Coturnix japonica: one gene and its partners. The protein of the gene in region 1 interacts with the protein of each later gene in a biochemical or structural test. Links are inferred from orthologs where the notes say so. Each region holds a gene or a part of one and is shown on either strand. Other genes may lie near its edges.

What was found.
Region 2: the proteins of PELI1 (region 1) and ubiquitin-conjugating enzyme E2 variant 1 form a complex in vitro, tested with the Homo sapiens proteins (3 studies listed by BioGRID). The link is inferred for Coturnix japonica from reciprocal best matches to the Homo sapiens genes PELI1 and UBE2V1.
Region 3: of the proteins of PELI1 (region 1) and IRAK4, one has a biochemical effect on the other in vitro, tested with the Homo sapiens proteins (4 studies listed by BioGRID and IntAct). The link is inferred for Coturnix japonica from reciprocal best matches to the Homo sapiens genes PELI1 and IRAK4.
Region 4: the proteins of PELI1 (region 1) and UBE2N form a complex in vitro, tested with the Homo sapiens proteins (2 studies listed by BioGRID). The link is inferred for Coturnix japonica from reciprocal best matches to the Homo sapiens genes PELI1 and UBE2N.

What each region holds. Positions count from the first base shown.
Region 1 is NC_029518.1:1,823,115-1,828,444, forward strand, and holds the start of PELI1 (E3 ubiquitin-protein ligase pellino homolog 1), read left to right. Parts: upstream 1-2,190; 5' UTR 2,191-2,400; intron 2,401-5,330. UniProt on the Homo sapiens protein: E3 ubiquitin ligase catalyzing the covalent attachment of ubiquitin moieties onto substrate proteins. Involved in the TLR and IL-1 signaling pathways via interaction with the complex containing IRAK kinases and TRAF6.
Region 2 is NC_029535.1:12,295,961-12,300,977, forward strand, and holds the start of ubiquitin-conjugating enzyme E2 variant 1, read left to right. Parts: upstream 1-1,895; 5' UTR 1,896-2,005; coding exon 2,006-2,027; intron 2,028-5,017. UniProt on the Homo sapiens protein: Has no ubiquitin ligase activity on its own. The UBE2V1-UBE2N heterodimer catalyzes the synthesis of non-canonical poly-ubiquitin chains that are linked through Lys-63.
Region 3 is NC_029516.1:27,244,428-27,249,567, forward strand, and holds the start of IRAK4 (interleukin-1 receptor-associated kinase 4), read left to right. Parts: upstream 1-1,977; coding exon 1,978-2,138; intron 2,139-3,237; coding exon 3,238-3,383; intron 3,384-3,678; coding exon 3,679-3,876; intron 3,877-4,998; coding exon 4,999-5,140. Other genes in the region: PUS7L (pseudouridylate synthase 7 homolog-like protein), read right to left, coding at 162-321, 822-1,634, 1,799-1,979.
Region 4 is NC_029516.1:40,854,105-40,858,657, reverse strand, and holds part of UBE2N (ubiquitin-conjugating enzyme E2 N), read left to right. Parts: intron 1-3,235; coding exon 3,236-3,482; intron 3,483-3,650; coding exon 3,651-3,791; intron 3,792-4,404; coding exon 4,405-4,445; 3' UTR 4,446-4,553. UniProt on the Homo sapiens protein: The UBE2V1-UBE2N and UBE2V2-UBE2N heterodimers catalyze the synthesis of non-canonical 'Lys-63'-linked polyubiquitin chains. This type of polyubiquitination does not lead to protein degradation by the proteasome.

The DNA of each region.
Region 1 (5,330 bases):
ACATCTGGATGCACTGCTTCTGCCTTACCCCTGGTTGCCCTTTGAAGCTCTCCTGTAGTGCTTGCACTATTTCTTTGTGTTTTCCTTATAGTGAGGCAAGCAGTGAGGCTTTTCCCTGCTGGATCATAAGCCCTGCAGCTTGCACTTCCAAATTCTATCCCTGCAAAGAAAAGCCTACCAGGCCCATGTATTTTCTAGAGGGCAAAAGCATCCCCCAGCAGAAGTTCCAGTGAAGCTCCCACTGATTTGTCCTTGCTGCCTTTGTATCACATCCGTTCTCCTCATTCCAGCCTCCTGCCATGACATCCCTTCAATTAATCATCTCCCCTTCCCAAGCTGTAAAGCATGGGTGAATATATCTAGCTGCCTGCCTTAGGAGGCTGATATGTGGATTAATTAATATTTCTGAAATGCCTCGAAAATTGCTGAGTGTTATTGCTACATAACAACTGTTGCTACGTAGGGAAAATCCCTGCAGCCAGATCCAGGCGTGGACACCACACCTATGTTTCCTGCCCTTGCCGAGGTCACAGCCTGGCTTTGCTATCAGCACAGAGCCATAAAAATCCCCATTTTGGCTTCCCCAGCACTTCACTTGCGCTGTTTCTGCAGCTTTTTGGAGTGCCCCATCGGATGTATCCATGTGCCCCATTCCAAAGCATCCCAGGTGGTGTTTTTGGTGGGCAGCTTGTCTTCCCTGGGCAACCAACCATACCCAAAGCAGGGCCAACACCCAGCCACACAGAGCTGTTTGTCTCCCATGGCAGAAATAGGGAGCAAGGGCGGGTCTGCCGTGCTTGGCAGGCCTGGATGCCACACCTCAGCATTCGAGTGACTCACAGGGCGCTCAACCAAGAGGCAGTTGAAATTCTCCTCCCCTTTTCTTGCAACCAGGCAACAAGCTTTTTAAAAAAACAGCGTGCTTTCTCCTAGCTTCCCTGCTGGGAATGTCTCATTTTCCGTGGCTGAGAGCCTTGCTGTAGTGGGAGTCAATTTGGTCATTGCACAGGGGAAGGGAGGTGAGTTTGGGTTCCATCAGTGGACTTTGTGGTCCATCATCAAGCCTCGAAGACAATGGATACATGGATTAATTAAGCATGTCCCGACTGGTTTTCTGGTCCTGAGGTCAGCTGGTAATGTACCAGTGCTGTTAAAGTTTTCTTTGACATATCAAAGCTGCTTCCTTCTAGAGGTCCCCAGCTCAGACATTCCCGGGCAATTGCTGGCCCAGGACAAAATAAACAAAGTTCCTAGCAGCTGTCATTTTATTGTCATAGAAGAAGCCAACATGACTTATGGCCATCTATCACCACGCCATTAGAGGCTTCTCCTTCCATGGAGGAACACTGTGTCTCCTTTGGGGCCATGCAAGAACTAACAGAGCCACCAGAGCCCCAGATGGTCAGGGCTAAGCATTTGCTAGGAGGGTGGGCTGCTGGATCATGGTACCAAGTCTGTGCTTTCACAGCCCTCTGATTCATTACAGGCTGCAATAAGCTGCAGTAGCTCGAGTTTGCAGGCATCAGCCTGAGACAGAGTGTTCTCCTTTGGGATATATTCAAGGCAAGGCTTTTTCCTCACCAGTGTCACGGGTACTTCAGGGAGACTAGCAAAAACCAAGGGGCTGCAGGAGGAGTTTTCCAGGGCGAGAGGACAAGGATGCAACAAATGAAGTTCAGAGATGAAAATGACACACAACAGAAGGAGGTACTTTCATCTTACAGGTGGAAGCAGCAGGGTTTGATGTCGGCTGCAATAATTTGGGAACAAGACATGAACTGAACTCCAAAAAGCAAAACAAAAGCCATTGGTAGCATCCAGAAACAGATCTCAAGGAAGAGAGGAGGTCATCGGCCAGCACTGTGTGCCGGTGTGCTCAACCCTTTCAGCAAGGAGCTCAGCTTTGACTCATGGTTGAAAGCATTTCCATGTGTGTGTCTGTGGGCTGACTCACAACTGGGGGATGGATCACGGTGCTCATTTTGTGTTGTGTTGTGCTCACCAGTGACAGTCACTTGGGCCTGAGTCACCACATCACCACCTGATTGGCCTGGATCATCTTAGAGATCTTTTCCAACCTTAATGATTCTACGAGCCCAGGTTTATATATATTGTATATCACACCTAAACCCGCCCCCACCTTAAGCTTCCCACTACAACTCCCAGCACGCCCCGGCCGTTCCCCCGCCCCCCGTCAGCTCCGCCCTCCGCCCTGTTGGTTGCGCGAGTTCTCGGCGGCATCGCGGCCAGTAGTGCGGGTGAGCGGCGGCTGGTGTGGGCGGCGTTGCCCGGCTGTGCTTTGCTCTCCGGCTGAGGAAGGCGGCCGGTCGGTCGCTGCTCGCTCCGTCTCTGCGGTCCCTCCGCCGCTTCAAGGAGCCGCGGGTTCCTCTCCTTCCTGCGGTAAGTCCCGCTCTCGCTGCGCCGCATCCCTCCTCCGCGCGGCTGGAGGGCGCAGCTCGGGGCCTGGCCCCCTTCCCCGCTTTGTGCTCTGGCTTCCATGGCTTGTTATGTTTGGTTTTGTTTGCTTTATTTTATTTTATTTTATTTTATTTTATTTTATTTTATTTTATTTTATTTTTCCCCTTTCCCTCATTAATTCCTTTTTTTCTCTTGTATTTTCCCCCCGTGCCTTTGTGCCGGTTGCTCGGCTTTCCGTGCGGTTTTGTTTCCTCCCCTGTGATGTCTCCGAGGGGATCGCCGTGCCTTTGTGCCGGAGCGGCAGGCAGCCAGCCATCCTCGGGAGGGGGACGGGTGTGTGTGTGGGGGGGGGGGGGGGAGGAGCGGAGATATTAAGAATAATACGCTTTAAAATCACGCTGTTTATGGACTCGGGAGGTTTTATCGAATCGAGGGGTTCGTGGTGATCCCTATTTCCCCGAGGGGAGGAAAGTGTGCGTGGAACTGGAGGCTGCGATGAGGCCCAGCACACAAAGGGCGCTGGGTGCGCTGCCTCCCGGCCCGGCGCTGCCCCCACCGCGCTGCGGGCTCCGTTGTTGAGCTGCCGAGATGAAAGCTTGCTATGGGAGCCTTCACGCCTGCCCTCCTCCCCCGTCGGCTCTTTGTGAGCAGCGCAACTTTCACCGCGTCGTTGAGCAATGCGGTTTCGGACAGAGCTAACTAAGAGCCGGGAGGTCGCGTGCTGCCTCCGGGCTGCATTGAAAAGGCAGTTGTTGTGTTTTCTACCCGACGCTTGTTTGTTCGTCGTGTTTTTGCTCCCTCTCCTCAAAAGCTGCTGTTGTCTGAGCTCTGCAAAACGCTGTTTCGTAGTTGGGCTGTAGCGCTCTCGTTTCTGGCTGTGCCTTTTAAAGGCCGCTCGTTTGTTTTCGTTGGGACTCCCGAGCCTTCGGAACGTGCTCGTCGCCGTGTAGAGTGGCTGGAATCATCGAGCCTCGGTTCCACATCCCGGGAGCGATGGCTTTATTTGTTCCATTTGAAATCTGCACGGGGGGAGGCCGTGGGGACAGAGGGCTGTTTCCAGTTTCTGTTGGGCAGCGTTTCATATTGCACAAAGAAGCAGCTCGATGACCTGTTGATGATGCATCTTTCATCGCTCTTTATGCTGAGAAGCGAAGCTGTGTTAGTGGAGGTGAGGGCTTTCCCGGATAGGTCGGCCGGGTTTTCATTCGCATGAGTGTTGCGGTCTGTGTGGCTTTATGTCTTAGGCCAGCAGTTTCAAAGCGAGTAGCATGGTGGCAAAGTTCACGAGTCTACACCGGACATCCCCTCCTGCTTTCCCCTACACCCCGCAGGAAAAGCCTGGGTGGTAGGAAACCGAGGCAGCCAGCTGGGAAGTCAGGCTCTTTTTGTGCCCTTTTCGTGCCACATAAGGGAAGTATCCTAACCGCTTCTGAAGTTCTTACCTATTTGTTGTGAATGGCCGGGCCGGGAGCTAAGGAACTGCTCTTTGTTATGGTTAGGCATCTGCAGCGTGCCTTAAGTTCACATGCCTTCAACTACCAGTATTTCAATTAAAACAAAGCTTAAATATTTGTGTCAGTGCAAAATCTGTGTTATAACCGTTGTGTGTTTTGGCGTTGGTTTATGCTAAGTAAAGAAAAGAGCGTTATTTCATTTTGGGATTTACGGCTGTAAATTTAGTGACTGTGTGGTTGTAGGTGCAAAGCAGAGCATCATCTGCTTGCAGCCAGTGATACTTAAACTCTTATTCATTTGTAAGGATATATTAAGGATAGGATATATATATATAAGAATATATTACAAGTATAATGTTGTATGTAATATCTTCTTAGACAGGATCTATGAAATACAGGAAAACAGGGAACCTGCAACTGTTTGTAGATCCTGATCCATGTTGTGAGCGAAAGAAAGAAGAAAATGGGTATTTCATGAGAGATGAAGTCATCTTTAAGGGCGTACTTGTAAGCTAAGTTGGGCAGTTGGTTTGGAGCTCTTGAAGGATGCTAATAATTGAAAGTACTTGTTGTAAGTCTGGTCACTGCGCATCTTGCTGATTAGGGCATAGAAGTTTTGACTGTAGGTGGCATTAAAAGGAAGTCCTCAGCTCTTTTGCTTCCAGACATTCATTCCTTAATCTTCAGATTCACAAGTGTGCTGACAAACTGTCAGAGGAAGTGACAGCAAAGAGATGGCGTAGGAAGTAGGTCAAGCTCTGCTGAATACTGCTGAGATAGTTTCAGTGGAAAAAAAATAAGCATGTCTACATCTGATCTAGTTTCTGTTTCCTTTCAATCTGCGGGTTACGAGAGTGGCCGGTATATCTTACCCTCCTACAGTGGTTTCCAGGTCCTACTGAAGAGAACATTGTCTCCCTAATGAGGTGCAGTTAGGCTGCCTGGATGGAAGGCCTTGTGGTGAGGAAGGCGAAACAGCAGTTTAGTTCTGGCTTTGTGCAGTGCTGGGTGCCAACAAATTGCCAGCTGGGCAAAGCTAAAGTGGTCTTTTGTTTTCCTGGAGACCTGGGGCAGTTTGTGGGGTGGATTTCCATTTGGGCTCCTTCACTCTGTGCTGCTGAGGTTCTGAGGTGGCAGTCTGGAGCAATAGGGAAGCATTATGGAGTGTTCTTTGTGGCCGTACTGTTTGCCAGTGGATGTTACAATTGTCGCAAGTACTTATAGTATTTCTTGTTCATGATGTTGTTTGAATGCCCCGTTACTGCTGACAATGTGATCTGCAGGAAAAATACCATTTTGCACTATGAGTGTGTTGGCCCAGGTAAGTGCATGATTTATTGGCTGCCTATGTCAGCCCTCTGTCACAACCTTCTTCTGCTGACCCTTGTCGTGCCACTTGGAGCCACAAATGTGCTTAAATATTGAAGTGACCTTTCTGCAACAACCTTGTAGTCATGA
Region 2 (5,017 bases), on another chromosome or scaffold:
TCCAGAACAAAGAACGCTTCTCCCTCTGCTCCCCTTCCAGTGTGCAAGTTCCCTGCAGTTCTAGAAGCGTAGAGTACAAAGCTGTGAGTACAAAGAGCAGTAACAGTTACCTCTTCCATCTTGACAAAAACCTAAATTCATGTCTCCTTCTGCTCTGAGGCTCCAGTAATTCATATTCTAACAGCTTTGTAGTCCTCAGTTTTCTCTCTCTCCTGTCCTACTCCCTTCCCTTCTGCTCAGCTCCCTGGAGTTGAGTCAAGCAGAATCCCTAGCAGTGTTAATGAATGCTGGCTTGGTTCTGGTCTTTCTGCTGGATTCCAGAACTCCTTCATCTTCTTAAAGCAGTGGGTGCTTCTGTCAAATCCACATAGCGATTCTGAAGCAAAAAGCTACGTGGATCCTTTTCAACAGATGTAAATCTGGCTTAAGATGAATTTGCCTTAAGTTGATTAGGAACAGATTAGAGCTAAAACAGAACCAGCCCCTCTTAAGCTCCAGCGTGGGCCTGGGCTTCATTGTGACTGACACTTGCTGAGGCCACTTAGTTTCCCCCTGTCACTTCTCTAAAAGATGCGGGTGACCCTCTGCTCCCTGGGGCTCCCAGAACGGCAGCAGGAGGTGCAGAACAGCCTCCAGCAGCAGCAGCAAAACGCTGCCTTGATCCCGCCTGGAGCAGTTCTAAAATAGGAGGTTTGGGCTGTCCTGAGGTGCCCATACCTGTTATCCCCTCCCAAACCTGGTGCAGAGGGGAAGGGGGCTGCAACAGTGGGGTTGCACTGAGCACCCACCTTGCCCCAGAACTGCAGCAGTTCCAACGGGAGCTCCTGGCATCTGCACCCCCAGCTCCAGGTCAGCTTTGCCGAGCAGTTGTGCCACCCAGCTTCTGCCCTGCTCGTTTCCCGTGCTGCTCTCGGCTGCCTCTGAAATGCAGCGTTAGGCTTCAGCTGTAGTCTGACCAGCAGCAAGACTGGCATTGCTGTTTTTAAAGCAGCATCAGTGAATAGCTGGTAGAAATGGTGCTGTAGCTGTGCGCTGTGGGGTTGATACAGCAGGATGAGGGTTTGAATGGCAGTCATGAGCCTCTAAATCTTCTAATAATTTCTGTGAGATGTCCATGCGATGTCTCAGGACAATATCTGGGGATATGTAGTGCAAGACAAAGCAGAATTTATTAATTCATTTCCTCCCAGGTTTCTTTGTTTGTTTTTTACTGTACTGGCTAGACAGAGGCAAAGCAAAATGCTGCCGCTGAAGCACAGCCCTCTAGGTCCATCTGCTGTCAGGTCCCATCTGGCAGCGCCTGTTTTCGATTCCATTTCTGCATAGTCCCAACCTTCAGGAGCAAAGCGGGGACACCCGTGTGTGCTGTGTCTTTCCTGCTGCAGACGGGCGGGCATTGCGTGCTGCTGGCTGCTTCCTTCGGCTGCGCTCACTGTGGGTCTGCACAGAACACACAGCACGGATTGCTGCCAGTGCTTCACGGCAACGAGAGAATGGCAGCAAAGGAAAGGAAATGTTGCACCACTCTGGTACTTTCCTTAGCTGAAGACGTTTGGGAAGCAAATACATAAACAACACCAGATTATTACCAAGTGACTGGGTAATTTAAGAGCATTAGGAGTTAAATGCTGCCTGCGTTCCGACCATAATGAACGTGGTTTGGCCATTATTAATTGCACTGGAGTTTTATAGGACGTTAAATGTTTGAAAGCATGCCCGTGTTTCAGGCTTCCCTGGAGGATCCAGGGCTCTGCTGTCCCGGACACGAGCCGGCTGCCGCCCTCGGGGGGCACGAACAGCTCGAGCCCCCCCAGCCCAACAGAGAACGCCGCTAACCTCGATTGTGCCCGCCCGCGCGGCGAAGTTCGGGCGACTTCCGGCGTGCACCACAGAGCTCTCCTCTTTCTCGCCTCGTCTTTAGCGCGCCCGCCCGCCCCGCGAGGCCTCACTTCCCGCGTTGCGCTGACGCGGCGTTGGGGGGCGGGTCCGGCGGCAGCGGCGCAAGATGGCGGCCACCACGGGTGCGGGTGAGCGGGCGGCGGGGCCGGGCTGGGCCGGGGGCGCTGGGAGGGGCCGCCCCTCTCCGCGGGGCAGCGGGCGGCGGGGCCGGGCCGGGAGGCGGCGACAGAGCGGCCAGGGCTGCGGAGAAGGGAACGGAGCGAGGGGGCGGCGGCGGGGACTGGGCCGAGGGGCGCGGCGCGGTGCCCGGCCGGGGGGCGGGTGGGCTGGGTGGGCCGAGGGCCGAGGGCCGAGGGATGCGGCTGGGCGGGACTCGGGCACGGGAGCCGCGGAACGACCCGGGCGGAGGCACCGCCGAGCACAGGCCGCTCCCGGCCGCCCCCAGCCCGCAGTGAGTCCCGGCCCCGCCGCAGTGCTACGGGCTGCGGGCGGAACGCGGCGCTGGGCGGCGGCTGCCGGGGAGCACAGGCCCGAGGAGCCGCTTCCGAAGGGCTCAGGAAGTTGAACGGCGATTTCCTGCCTCGTTCTGCACCTGCTATGAATGGTTGAACGGCCCCCTATGGCTATCGTTCACGTTACACTACATAGCAGTAACCAGACCTCAGTGTATCTTTTCCTGCTGATCCCTTCTGGCTGACCTGTGCAGACCAAATAATGTGGTTTCATTCCTGTTTGCCAGTCTCACCTACCTGCTCTTGTAACCAGTGTCCAGTGTGCCCTGACAGCGCCGTGCTCAGATCGCATCCTCTGGTGATAAATGTGGGAACATCCAAGGGCTGCACTGGAGGTACAGCAGAAATATCTAGAGGTACCTTCCTTACAGATAGGTTCCTGCTGGTGGCTTTCCGGCCTTCAAGAATAAATGTCACAGTGCAGTTAATTAATTAATGCAGTTAATAAGTAGTTATCAAGTTCATAAGAAGGTTCTCTGCTTGGAAGCAGGTGGCTGTGAGCTGTGGAGCACCTGGGTAAAGCCTATGGACAGAGCACATTTCCACTACCACATTATCTCACTTCTCTGCTCCTGTAATCCTGTCGGTCTGCTCACTTTATTTTGTATGTGTCTGGAAGAGCAAGGCCAGTGACTGCTGCTTTTAAGCCAGTGCAGCTTCATGAGTTATTGTCTGTGTGGTCCAGGAGAGGGGCAGGAAGATGGAGATCCAAACTGCAGTGACTGAGTCTGGGGCCAGTCCTGCACAGCTCCTTTGTGCTGTTGGGATGAGCTGTGTGTCAGTAGCCATTGTCCATCAGCCACGCTGTGCCTTTGGATGGCTGCATTACCTCATATTCTCCTGAACCGTCCCTGGCCTTCAGTGTTGGAAGCAGTGCAGAGTCAGGGAGATGGCAGGCAGGTGCTCAGCTCCTTGCCTCTAAAACATGAGCATCAGACAAGCACTGCACTTAGCTGCTCTTGAGGTCCTGTTTGTTTTAGTGCTGCTGGCAAGAGGAAATAGTGCAAAACAGTATGTGTCAAAAAAAGCCATGCTGCTGAAACAGAACTTCTGCAGTAAGCCCCATGGTTGGGACTGAGGAACTTTTGCATACAGACCAGTGGTTTGCGCTGATGGGAGCGTTGTCCAGCCGTGAATCCCAGACTGCTGTACCTACCACCAACCTGTTCTGTCTGGGTGCACCAGTAAAGTATGGCTGGAGATTGTCCTTTTTGAAACAGAGAGCAATATAGTGTTCCTGACAGCACCAGTAGAATCTGGGGTTTCCTGTATAAAGAAACCTACAGCAATTCTTTTAAGATCTCCTGGCGAGTTGTCTTAGTTTCAGCTGGAACAGAATTGTTCCCTTCAGAATGTTGGGTATGATGCCATGTTTTGGTTCGAGGAGAAGAAAAACATTGATAGCACAGTGATGTTGATAATTGCTGCTAAGCAGTGCTGTGCAGAGCCAAGGCTCCAAGGAGCTGGGAGGGAACAGAATCAGGACAGCTGACTTACACCTGCCAAAGGGATATTCCATACCATACAACATCAAGCAGAAGGAGTTTAGAAGGGGCTGGGAGTTCATCACGCTCTCTTCTGCTGCTTGTCTTTTTCTCAGTAAATAGTTTTATCTTAACCCACAAGTTCTACTACATTTTCTCCTAATTTTCTCCCCCATCCTACTGGGGTGGAGGGAGGTGCTTAGCTGTCTGCTAAACTCCAACACTAGTGAAGAGCATTTTCAGTGCCCTTTGCTAAGCTGTTCTCTATGAAATATTTGTGCTTTAATCCTCAAGATTTCATTGTAGAAAGGAAAGAGATTCACTGACATTTTTTGTGGGGCCTTTATTTCTTCCTGCTCGTGCTGAGGAGGAGCATTCAGGAGCATCCACTCTCAGGAGTATTGCCCACTTCATTTCACTGCTCTCACTGTGCTGTTTGCACTGTGGCACTGTACGGTTATTCAGTTGTACAATCAATAGGTAAACAGAGGTTTAAACAGATGTTTCGTTAAGAAAGATTATCGTGATGGAAAGATAATCTATAATAAATGGAAATGCTCACCAATATTGAAGGCTTGCAGTAAACTCCACAAAGGAGCAATCTCCAGAGAAGGAGATCCTTCCTTAGTGGCAGTCAGCCCTTAAATGGGATCTAGGAGAGATGCAGCCAGGCTCCACAGGGACAAAAGGCGAATCTCAGAGTGCTTTAAGGGCGTTACAAACTCCAGCTGCATTTAACTATCTTCCAGGAATAATTCTGTTTCCCTGGTGCAGAACTGCAGTGTGTTCTGGCGGCCATAGGCTCCTGGTCCCAGTGTGACTGAGCTGGCCCAGCCTGTGGCTCACAGTCCAGCCAACAGCTCTGGTTCCTAACACTCATTGGTGCCATCCACGCCGCAGCACTGGAAGTTTTGGAAACAAAGGCTGAAGAGAATGTCACCTAGAACCCAGCAGCTCCTTAACTGCAACTTTAAGTTCAGCAAAATTCATGTCTTGACTTTCTGCAAAACTTCCCCTGTTATTCAGTGTTATTCTGAGATTTCCTGTAAAAATATTTAATGAACTGGTTACTGAATTACTGTCTGGATTTGAGGCTTCCTGTATGCAAATTTACTAAACATG
Region 3 (5,140 bases), on another chromosome or scaffold:
TGCTACACTGTATATACCCTAAAGCCAAAAATATTAAGGCCATTGCCACTGTGGTCTAATAGAGGAGGAGGGAAAGAAAGCATTAGGAACTTTGCAGCAGCTTGCACCCTTTTGATAATTAATAGCAAATTAGAATAATCCCACCCTCAGATTGTCAGTACCTCTCAGGAGTGACCTTCTTCACAACCATCAGTTGGTACGTAATAGCCTTCTTATCTTTGATGCCGGTATAACTGAAGTCTGAGGGAAGAACTCCAAGTTCAGCAGCCAAGAAGCTGATTGCTTCCAGAGTTTCTAGATTTTCTTTCTGAAGGGTGAAAGCTGAAACAATCATCCCAGAATTATTAGAAACTTGCATTTCTAAATCACACAGGTGCTTTGCCATGGCAGGTTGCAGGTTCTTCCTTTCAAACCATAACAGCATGACAACCACAGAGGAAGTGTTCTGTCTCCTCTCCCACTCCACAAAACTAAGAGAATTGGGACATTTCCAGTATTGAAAGAAAAGGGTAAAGACACAGTAAACAAAAGTGAGAACAATCAAAACCCCTGCTGGCCTCTGGAGCAGCACCTGATCAAATGCAATGCAGTTCCAGTAACCTGACTTAGTGCTAGCAATGTTCCGTGGATCAGAAACCAACGCCTTTACGAAATGAGATCATAAATCAAATCTGAACTCACTATAAGCTGCCCAACATCAGAATACGCTTCTTAAATCCATATACTGGACCATACTGACCATTCTAAAATGATTCTGATGGTCAGTATTACTGCAGATATACCACAATACCCAATATTCCCACTAAAAATGTAATGTTTACCTGTATAAATATCTTGTTTTACCTGGAAACCATCAGCAGGCCTCTTTCTGGAGCAATTTTTCCCTCTAAACCTTACCATGATTGACATATTTGGCTTCTGCGTGACGTCTGCCACAGTAAAAGACTTTGTTTCTAAAATTTTACCAAATTTTTTATTGATGAAGTGGTGAACTACTTTTCTGTGCTCCTTATTTCCATCGGGCTCAAAAGAAAAAGTGGAATTTTCAAGCTTGGCATCCAAAAACTTAAAGAAATCGCTCGTTTCCTTTTCAGTCACGAGCTGACACAGTTCTCTGTAGTCAGCGTTTCCTTTCACAACCATCTCGTTGCCCTTTGTCACAGTGACCAAAAAGGGGAATCTCTGCCTGATGGCACCGTGCAAATCGGCCCGATCTCCCTTGTCCACCACGGCTCCCAGAGAGAACTCCCCGGCTCCGCCATCACAACCCCCTTCCGTGTCCCAGGCCTCCTTCAGATCACAAGCGAATTTAGTCAGCCTCTCACTCGCGGCCTTGCCCAAAAGGGAATCCAACACATCGGCTGCCTCCGGGCCGGATTTCAGAGCACAGCGGCTCTGCTCATGGTGTGTCACCGTGCTCCCAGCCCCGGCTCTGGCTGTGGCGGAGGCAGCGGGCGGTTCCCCCGGCGGTGCGTTGGACTGCGTTGGGTTGCGGGGCCGGGGTGCCGCGGGGCGCTGAGGCAGCTCCAGTTCCTTCACCACGAAGTCAGCGGGCGTCTTCTTGATCGTCCCGCGGAAGCCGATGTGATCGGTCACGTAACTGAGGGAGAGCAACATGGCTCCCCTGCCCGATGCTGCCAGAGGAGAAAAAAAATAATAAATTAATAACAATACTAATAAAGATCATTAAAAAAGGGGGAAAACAGAAAATGGAGGGACAACCATCTCCCTACCGCGACCACCAGGGGGCGCCGCTTGTACCCAGCCCCCGGCCATCAGAGAGGGGGCACGGCCGTACCGAGCTCCCCCAGCCCCGCCTGCCGGCTGTGGAGCGCTGCGGGACGGCGCAGGAAGCGGGAGGGGGCGCTGGTAGTGCGGGCGGAGGTGGCGTCACGGCCTCGGAACGGGGAGGTGCTGAGGGGCTGTCCGGGTAAAGTGGCGAGAGCTGGTGGCTTTGAGGTTCCTGGCCGCCCCGCCATGAGCCAGCCGGTCACCACCGCCACCTACGTCCGCAGCCTGCGCTACGGGCTGCTGAGGCAGCTGGCCGACCTCCTCGACCCGCAGGAGGGATGGAAGCGGCTGGCCGCGGCCATCACCGACCCGGCAGGCGAGAGCAGATACAGCCAGGCGCACATCAGGTCTGGTGTGGCCGTCGGGTGATGTAACCGCGTGCACTGATGTTGGATTGGCATCAATGTGCCCTCCGTGTGTGTGTGTGTGTCCAGCACTGCTCAGAACGTATCTCACATAGTGCTTCCTGAGGGAACCCAAACTAGTTCCTCTCCAGTTTGCTTTTGAGACAAGTGACACTTCTCCTGCTAGTCTGAGAGGGCTGGGGCTGTTCAGCCTGGAAAGGAGAAGGCTGTGGGGAGAGCTGAGAGCGGCCTGTCAGTGTCTGAAGGGGCTGTGAGAAAGGAGGGGACTGATTCTTCAGCAGGGTCTGTGGTGATAGGACAAGAGGAAATGGATTCATGCTTAAAGAGGGGAGATTTAGGTTGGATATAAGGAAGAAGTCTTTTGCAGTAACTGTTTACAGGGGCTGGAACAGGGGCCCGGAGATATGGTGGATGCCCCATCCTTGGAGACATTTAGTGTGAGCAGCCTGATATGGCTGTGGGTGTCCCTGTTCAGGGCAGGGCAGTTGGAATGGATGGCCTGTAAGGGTCCATTCCAACTCAAATGGTTCTGTGAGAGCTACAGAGAACTGATTGAATCAGAATAAGCCCTACAGACTGTTTGCCATGGACAAACGTAGAACGTGTCCTTTTACCCAAGTTTGCATTTCTTTGGTGTCATTTTGTGTACAGGGGGTTGTATGTGTGTTTTCATAAGGCCTGTATGGTTTTAAGTTGAAAGAGGGAAGATTTAGGTTGTATGTTAGGGGGAAGTTCTTCACTAGGAGAGCGGCTAGGCCCTGGAACAGGCTGCCCTGGGAGGTTGTGGATGCCCCGTCCTTGGAGGTGTTCAAGACCAGGTTGGACGGGACCCTGGGCAACCTGATCTAGTAAATGTGTATGTTTGGTGGCCCTGCCAGGCAGGGGGGTTGGAACTACATGATCCTTGAGGTCCCTTCCAACCCGGGTCATTCTGTGATTCTGTATTTAGCAGTACTTCTGTTGTACTGCTGAAGTACAATTCATTATATAGTGATTTTGGGTTTATTTTTATTTACCATTAATCACGCTCCTTTTTTTGTTACTTTTCTTTTCAAAGTTAGCTTTAATTTTTCTTTTTAAGGAGATTTGAAGCATTTGTGCAAATGGGAAAGAGTCCCACATGTGAGTTGCTTTATGATTGGGGAACAACAAATTGTACAGTCGGTGACCTTGTGGATCTGCTGATTAGGAACCAGTTTCTAGCACCAGCAAGTCTTTTGCTTCCAGGTAACTGTTATCCATGTATATTCTGTGCTGTGCTCCCTTGTCTGTATGATGCCAGTGACCTTCACAGTAGTTGGACGGTCAGAAAGGATTAGGTGAAAATAACCAAAAGAGGATACATTTTCCATCATTTACAATAGGAGTTTTATGGAAGTGGGCTACAGTTTTCCAAGTTTAAATGAAAGTCCTGCAATTTTCATGTGGTGCAAGATTATAACCTTAGTAAATACTGACGTAATGCTATTTATGTTTTCTGTTTCCTAATACGGTTAACGCTTTTTCTAAATTCCATTTTCAGAAGCTGTCGGGATGGCACAAGAAGTTACATTACCTCTTTCTTCACAGGAAACTTTGCCTATACATGAAAAACAACAGCCTATACAGGAAAAAGAAGTGACATCTGTAAAGCCTGTGTTGTCTCAGAATACAGAGGAGCAACCTTCAGCCCCTCCATGTTTAAGTCAAGAGAACAGCAGCGCACAGCCTAGTAACACAGGTAGGTGCTTAGTTTGTTAAAATGAGTTAGTGTTTTTTGCTGATCTGTCCTTCACCTGTGTGAAATAAGTCCTAGGAACGCACTGGAATGCACAGTAATGACTGCATTTGCGTCTTCGTGCTTTTTGTTCTTGTATTGTGAGACTGAACGCAACCTGTGCAAATAAGACATCAAAAAATGAGAAATAACGTAGTCACACTAGTGCCACGGTGTGAAGTTTAGCAAGGGCAAGTGTAGAGTCCTGCACCTGGGGAGGAATAACCACATGCATCAGTACAGGTCAGGGGCTGCCTGGCTGGAAAGCAGCTCTGCGGAGAAGGACCAACAATTTCTGGTGGACAGCAGGTTGGCCATGAGCCAGCAGTGTGTTCTTGTGGCTAAGAAGGCCAATGGTATGTTGGGGCATGTTACAAAGAGTGTAGCCAGCAGGTCAGGGGAAATGATCCCCTCTACTCTGCCCTGGTAATGCTGCATCTGGAACACTGTGTCCGGTTCTGGGCTCCCTGGTTCGTGAAAGACAGGGAACTTCTAGAGATGGTCTAGCAAAGGGCCACAAAGATGATGAGAGACCTGAAGCATCTGACTTATGAGGAAAGGTTGAGTCACCTGTTCAGCCTGGAGAAGAGAAGTCTAAGAAGAATCTTAACAGGCAGAGAAGGGGCAGCGGACGCAAACAGGAACACATGAAGTTCCATCTGAACTTGAGGAAAAACCGGGGAGAGGTTGTGGAGTCTCCTTCTCAGGAGGTGTTCACAGCCCATCTGGATGCTCTCCTATGCAGCTTACTGTAGTGAACGTGCTTTAGCAGAGGGGTTGAACAAGATGATCTGCAGAGGTCCTTTCTATAGTACTCTATCCCCTCTATACTACTAGGACTCTGTGACATTGTAATGTTTGTTCTATGTGTAATTCTATTGCCTTCTTTCAATACTGCTTTTGTAGACTGTTTAGCACCTTGTGCTTTGCATTCGGATCTTAGTTATCAGAAATAACTAAGAAGTATGGGAAAAAGGTGACTAAAGAAAGTATTCTGATATAGATTAGAATTCGAGGATCTATTTAATATGCTTGTTATTTGAGTAGAAATGTGGTTCTGTGCTAAATGTCAATTGTGTCTTCTAGATTTCCACAATTTTTGGTTTCACGACTTGGAAAATGTTACAAATAATTTTGATGAACGACCAGAATCGGCTGGAGGAAATAAGCTGGGGGAAGGTGGCTTTGGCGTTGTGTTCAAAGGCTACATCAACGGCAGAAATGTGGC
Region 4 (4,553 bases), on another chromosome or scaffold:
TTAATTAAAAACAAGAAAGGAAATGGTGGGGAGGTGTAACGAATTCTGAGTGAGAGCAGCGTGTTTTGGTGGGGTGTTTTTATTCCTTGCAGTATTGCCTGGCGTGTATCTTACTTTTCCATCTATTCATTTTCATTAATCCATGAGGGCTGTGAAATTAGTTTGAAATTGAGGCAAAGTGGAGTAAAACGAGAGCAAAAAGGGTTCTCGTTTTAGAAACGTGAAGTGTGACAAATAGAAGTAAACTGCCTGTGGATGCGAAGGATGTGCCTCAATGAGTGCTGGGGTGTGTTCTGTGAAACTCAGTTCACTATGATAGCGGAGAGCTAGGAAGAAACACTGTGAAGTGCTATTCTGCTACCACTTAGATTGCACTTAGTATTCCTGTGCAAACAAACTTAGTTACTGTATTATAAAGTGAAGTGTTATGTACACTTGAGCTTCCAGATGAATCTAATTAAATGTAGCGAGTTAAAAATTAAATTGAAAGGTTTTTTTCTTGTGGTTTTTATTTGGATCTTTTTCAGTGGATAACCGTCCTCTGGGGAAGGTAACAGATAATTAGATTAACGTATTAAAGGAAATTACACGCTTCTTTTTGGAGATTGAGTCCACGTCCATGGGCTTCTTTTGTGGGTGCCCGTATTGGAGGTGGTGGGAAGGGGGAATGGGTGCAACATACCTATAAATACATATATATAAATACATATACATTCTTAAAGCAGGTTGAGCTTCCTGAGGTGGTGCTGTGTTGTCCCATGTAACAACAGCTGTGTGTCTCCAGTGGAACTTACTGCTTATACCACTTATGGCAGCTGGAATGGATTTCAGGATCAGCACGTCTTCAGCTGGCCTGGTCTTCAGACGACTTTACAGTGTGGAAGCTGAGTTTCTGATTCTGCCTCAGTATTTAGTACTGGTCCTGCTTAAGTTTAATCATCTTTATGTGCTGTGGCCTTAAAACACAACTTCTTGATTTGTTTTCCCTTTTCTGCTCCTTTTCATAGAATCGTAGAATAGTTTGGGTTGGAAGGGACCATTAAGATCATGTAGTTCCAACCCCCTGCTATGGGTGGGGACACCTCCCTCTAGACCAGGTTGCTCAGAGCCCCATCCAGCCTGGCCTTGAATCCTTACAGGGAGGGGGCATCCACGGCCTTGCTGGGCAACTGCTCCAGCATCTCACCACCCTCACAGTTCATAGATGTCCAGCCCAGGTTCTGAGGAGCCCAACAGGCAATGTAACATTATACGATTTTTTTGGTTCTCATCCCTTCTGTTATTTTATAGAAGGATAACAGTGTCTGTGTAACGTAGGGTATAAAGGTCTGTCAGAACATAATGACGTTCCTGCAGTGATAAAGCCCTCAGTATGATGCTGTACCTTATCAAAAGAATCATTTTTTCTTGTATGTGGGTTCACCCATTGTTTGCTGACAAATGGCTTTTAGTGGCAGTATGTGCAGCTCCCAGCCTGACACCGCTCCCTTGGATGCACTGGCAGGTAGAAATGCTGATGCTGCTGCCATGGAACTGCTGATTCTGGGTTGTTTCAAGCTAGGATTGGCTCTGTGGTATGGGTACAGTCAGCACACTGGTGTGACTAGGGAGGCAGTGTGGGGGTCAGCAGGACAGAGCTGGGGCTGGGGACGCAACATAAATCTTGTATGTGTTGCAAGTTCATTTGTATCCTTTGAAATATATTTGCAAGGGTGAGTGTTGGAAGCTTAGAGCACCTTGGATGTCCTTACAGTGTGGTACATAAGTGGTACTGGCAGCTGTTGCCTGTGCGGATAAGTCCAGCAAGAAGTTGGATCACATCAGTTTATTGCCGTGTGTTTATGTAGATAATAACATCAATATTATGAGCTGTAGGAACTTGATACATTTGATACAAATGTTTGGATTGTAGTGTTAATTACTGGGGTTTCAGTGCTTCAGGTATTTCATTTGCTGTTGCTGAAGTGAGATATTAACCATGTCATGACAGTCACTTCAGTGCTGCCTGAGTTATTCTAACAAAATACGTGTATTGTAACAGTCTGGGTTATATTTGAAGGACTTTAAGCCACGTACAATTATTGTGCTTATGTTACGGCTATTGTAGACACACTGAGTAAATACACCATAAAACTAGGGCAATAAATTAATATGACACCCACAGGTTACCACTTGCTAAGGCAGAAATAGAAATTCTCTTTGTGTAAGTCAACAGGGGAAGGCGGTAATAAAATTAACTGCACGCAGTGAAAACAAGCTGGAGGAAAAGCAGGAAACAGGGCTAAAATTACCTGAGGAAATGGGGTCTCTGCAGAACTCCTTGTCCCTGCCTGATGTCCTCTTGCCACATCGGCCTCTTTTTGGGGTGCAATGGTGCCTGCGGGACTTGTGAGGGCTGGCAGTAGTGGAGAAAGAAGTGGGTACAGAGCTCGGTCTGCTCAGCACGTTAGTGGGATGGGTGGCCAGAACGCAGGCAGCTCCTCACTGTGGCCACTTTGGGGAGCGTGGCACAGAGTTACTGCTGGAGGCAGAGCAACAAAGAACACAAATCTAGGTAGGAAAGCAGGCTTCCCTGATTCTAACGTGTACAGAACAGCTTGTTGTCTCCTACTGATTGTTAGAGGAGCTTTAAGTGTGCTTATTACATAGGCTGAATGTGCTTGAGCAAAGGTGGTTCACACATACAGATGTTTTAGGTATTTATACATATAGCAACGTCTTTAATACTGGGGTTGAGTAGTACTTTCAGTTCTTCAGAGCTGATTCTGATTCCAAGGCAGACATTCATTTTAAAATCAATGTGCTCACGTTAGAGTAAATCTTGAATGCTTTCTGTGAGTGGTTGGTCATTTTGTTTGTCACTGTTAGGCTTCTCTTTAAGGCAGAATGGGAAATGCTTCTGCTGTTATCACTGATGTTCTTTAGATTGCTTCTGCTTATACTGAAGAAGCTGGTTTGGCAGTAGTTGAATCAGAAGTAAAGCTGTCCTTAAATCTCTGGATTGGTGGCCATTACCTTGTGCTGAGGAGGAGGCACAAGTTGTTGTAGCAGCTGAGAGATTTGGAAGGAGATCTCTACCAGTTTACCACATTGTGTTCTTTGACTTTGATGCTCACTTCATAGTTTCAGTGGGTGTAGTTAATTCATAATGAAGACTTGTCTTTAAAATAGTTCATACAGTGTGCTTACGTTAAACAGTTTGTATTTATTCCATTGCCTCTCCTTCTCCTTCTAGGAAACCCAGCGCTTGCTGGCAGAGCCAGTCCCTGGGATAAAAGCAGAACCAGATGAAAGCAACGCACGTTATTTTCACGTGGTCATTGCAGGTCCACAGGATTCCCCCTTTGAGGGTGGGACATTTAAACTTGAACTCTTCCTTCCAGAAGAATATCCAATGGCAGCTCCTAAAGTACGTTTCATGACCAAAATCTATCACCCTAATGTAGACAAGCTGGGAAGAATATGTTTAGATATTTTGAAAGGTAAGTGCAACCTTATTTTCTTCTTATCACATACAGAAACTCGGAGATTCTCTCTAAAAAGAGATTTGTTTATATGGATATCTTTACCCTTTAATGTGGGAGCGGAAAACTTGTTATTTCAGTAGACTGCAAATGTGGTATTTCATACTGCTATAAATGTCTCTTTAGATAAATGGTCCCCAGCTTTGCAGATTCGTACAGTTCTGCTATCAATCCAGGCTTTGTTAAGCGCTCCCAATCCAGATGATCCACTAGCAAACGATGTAGCTGAGCAATGGAAGACCAATGAAGCCCAAGCCATAGAAACAGGTGATGTATCTGATGCTTTTCTTCCAGCTTTTAGGAAATACGGTGAGCCGATGGCTAATTGGTTGGGGAATTGAAATCCCAGCCTTCTATTTTGTGCCTGCAGTTTGCAGAAGTAATTAATTACTGCTTGCGGTTGTTGTCCAGGTTTCCTGCATATGCCTGCAGTGGTCTACTTAAGTGTGTAAATGCAGCCGCCTAGGAGGAAACTTAGTGGTTTTCTCTTGAGCTTTTACGTACCTAAATTGCAAGGGTGTCCAGTGTGGGCATATGATAAAATAGATGTTCACACCTGTGTTTTACCTGTGATGTTTAAGGAATGGGTTATTTAGCTCCAGAAGGCGTCTCTTCCATACCTGCTTCTGTCTCAGCTGTGGAAAGAATGATTTCATTCTGTCACTTCTGGCCTCGCTGTGCTTGTGCTGCTTCATCAGATCTCTGTTTCTGTCTATTACGTATTGTGTATATTAAGAGGTTAAAGTCACACTTGCCTCACAACTGATACATTTTGTGTCTTTGCAACAGTTTAAAAGTAACATTAAAAAGTCAATTAGCTTGAATAAAGCTTGAAAAATACTTTCCTTTTTTTCTTAAATGTGTTTTTTTTTCTTTGCAGCCAGAGCATGGACTAGGCTATATGCCATGAATAATATTTAAATGTGCTTTGAACATCAAGTGTGCATCACTTCTCCTGTTCTGCCAAGACCTCTTCCTTTTTTTGTTTGCATTTAATGGACACAGTCTTAGAAACATTACAGAATAAAA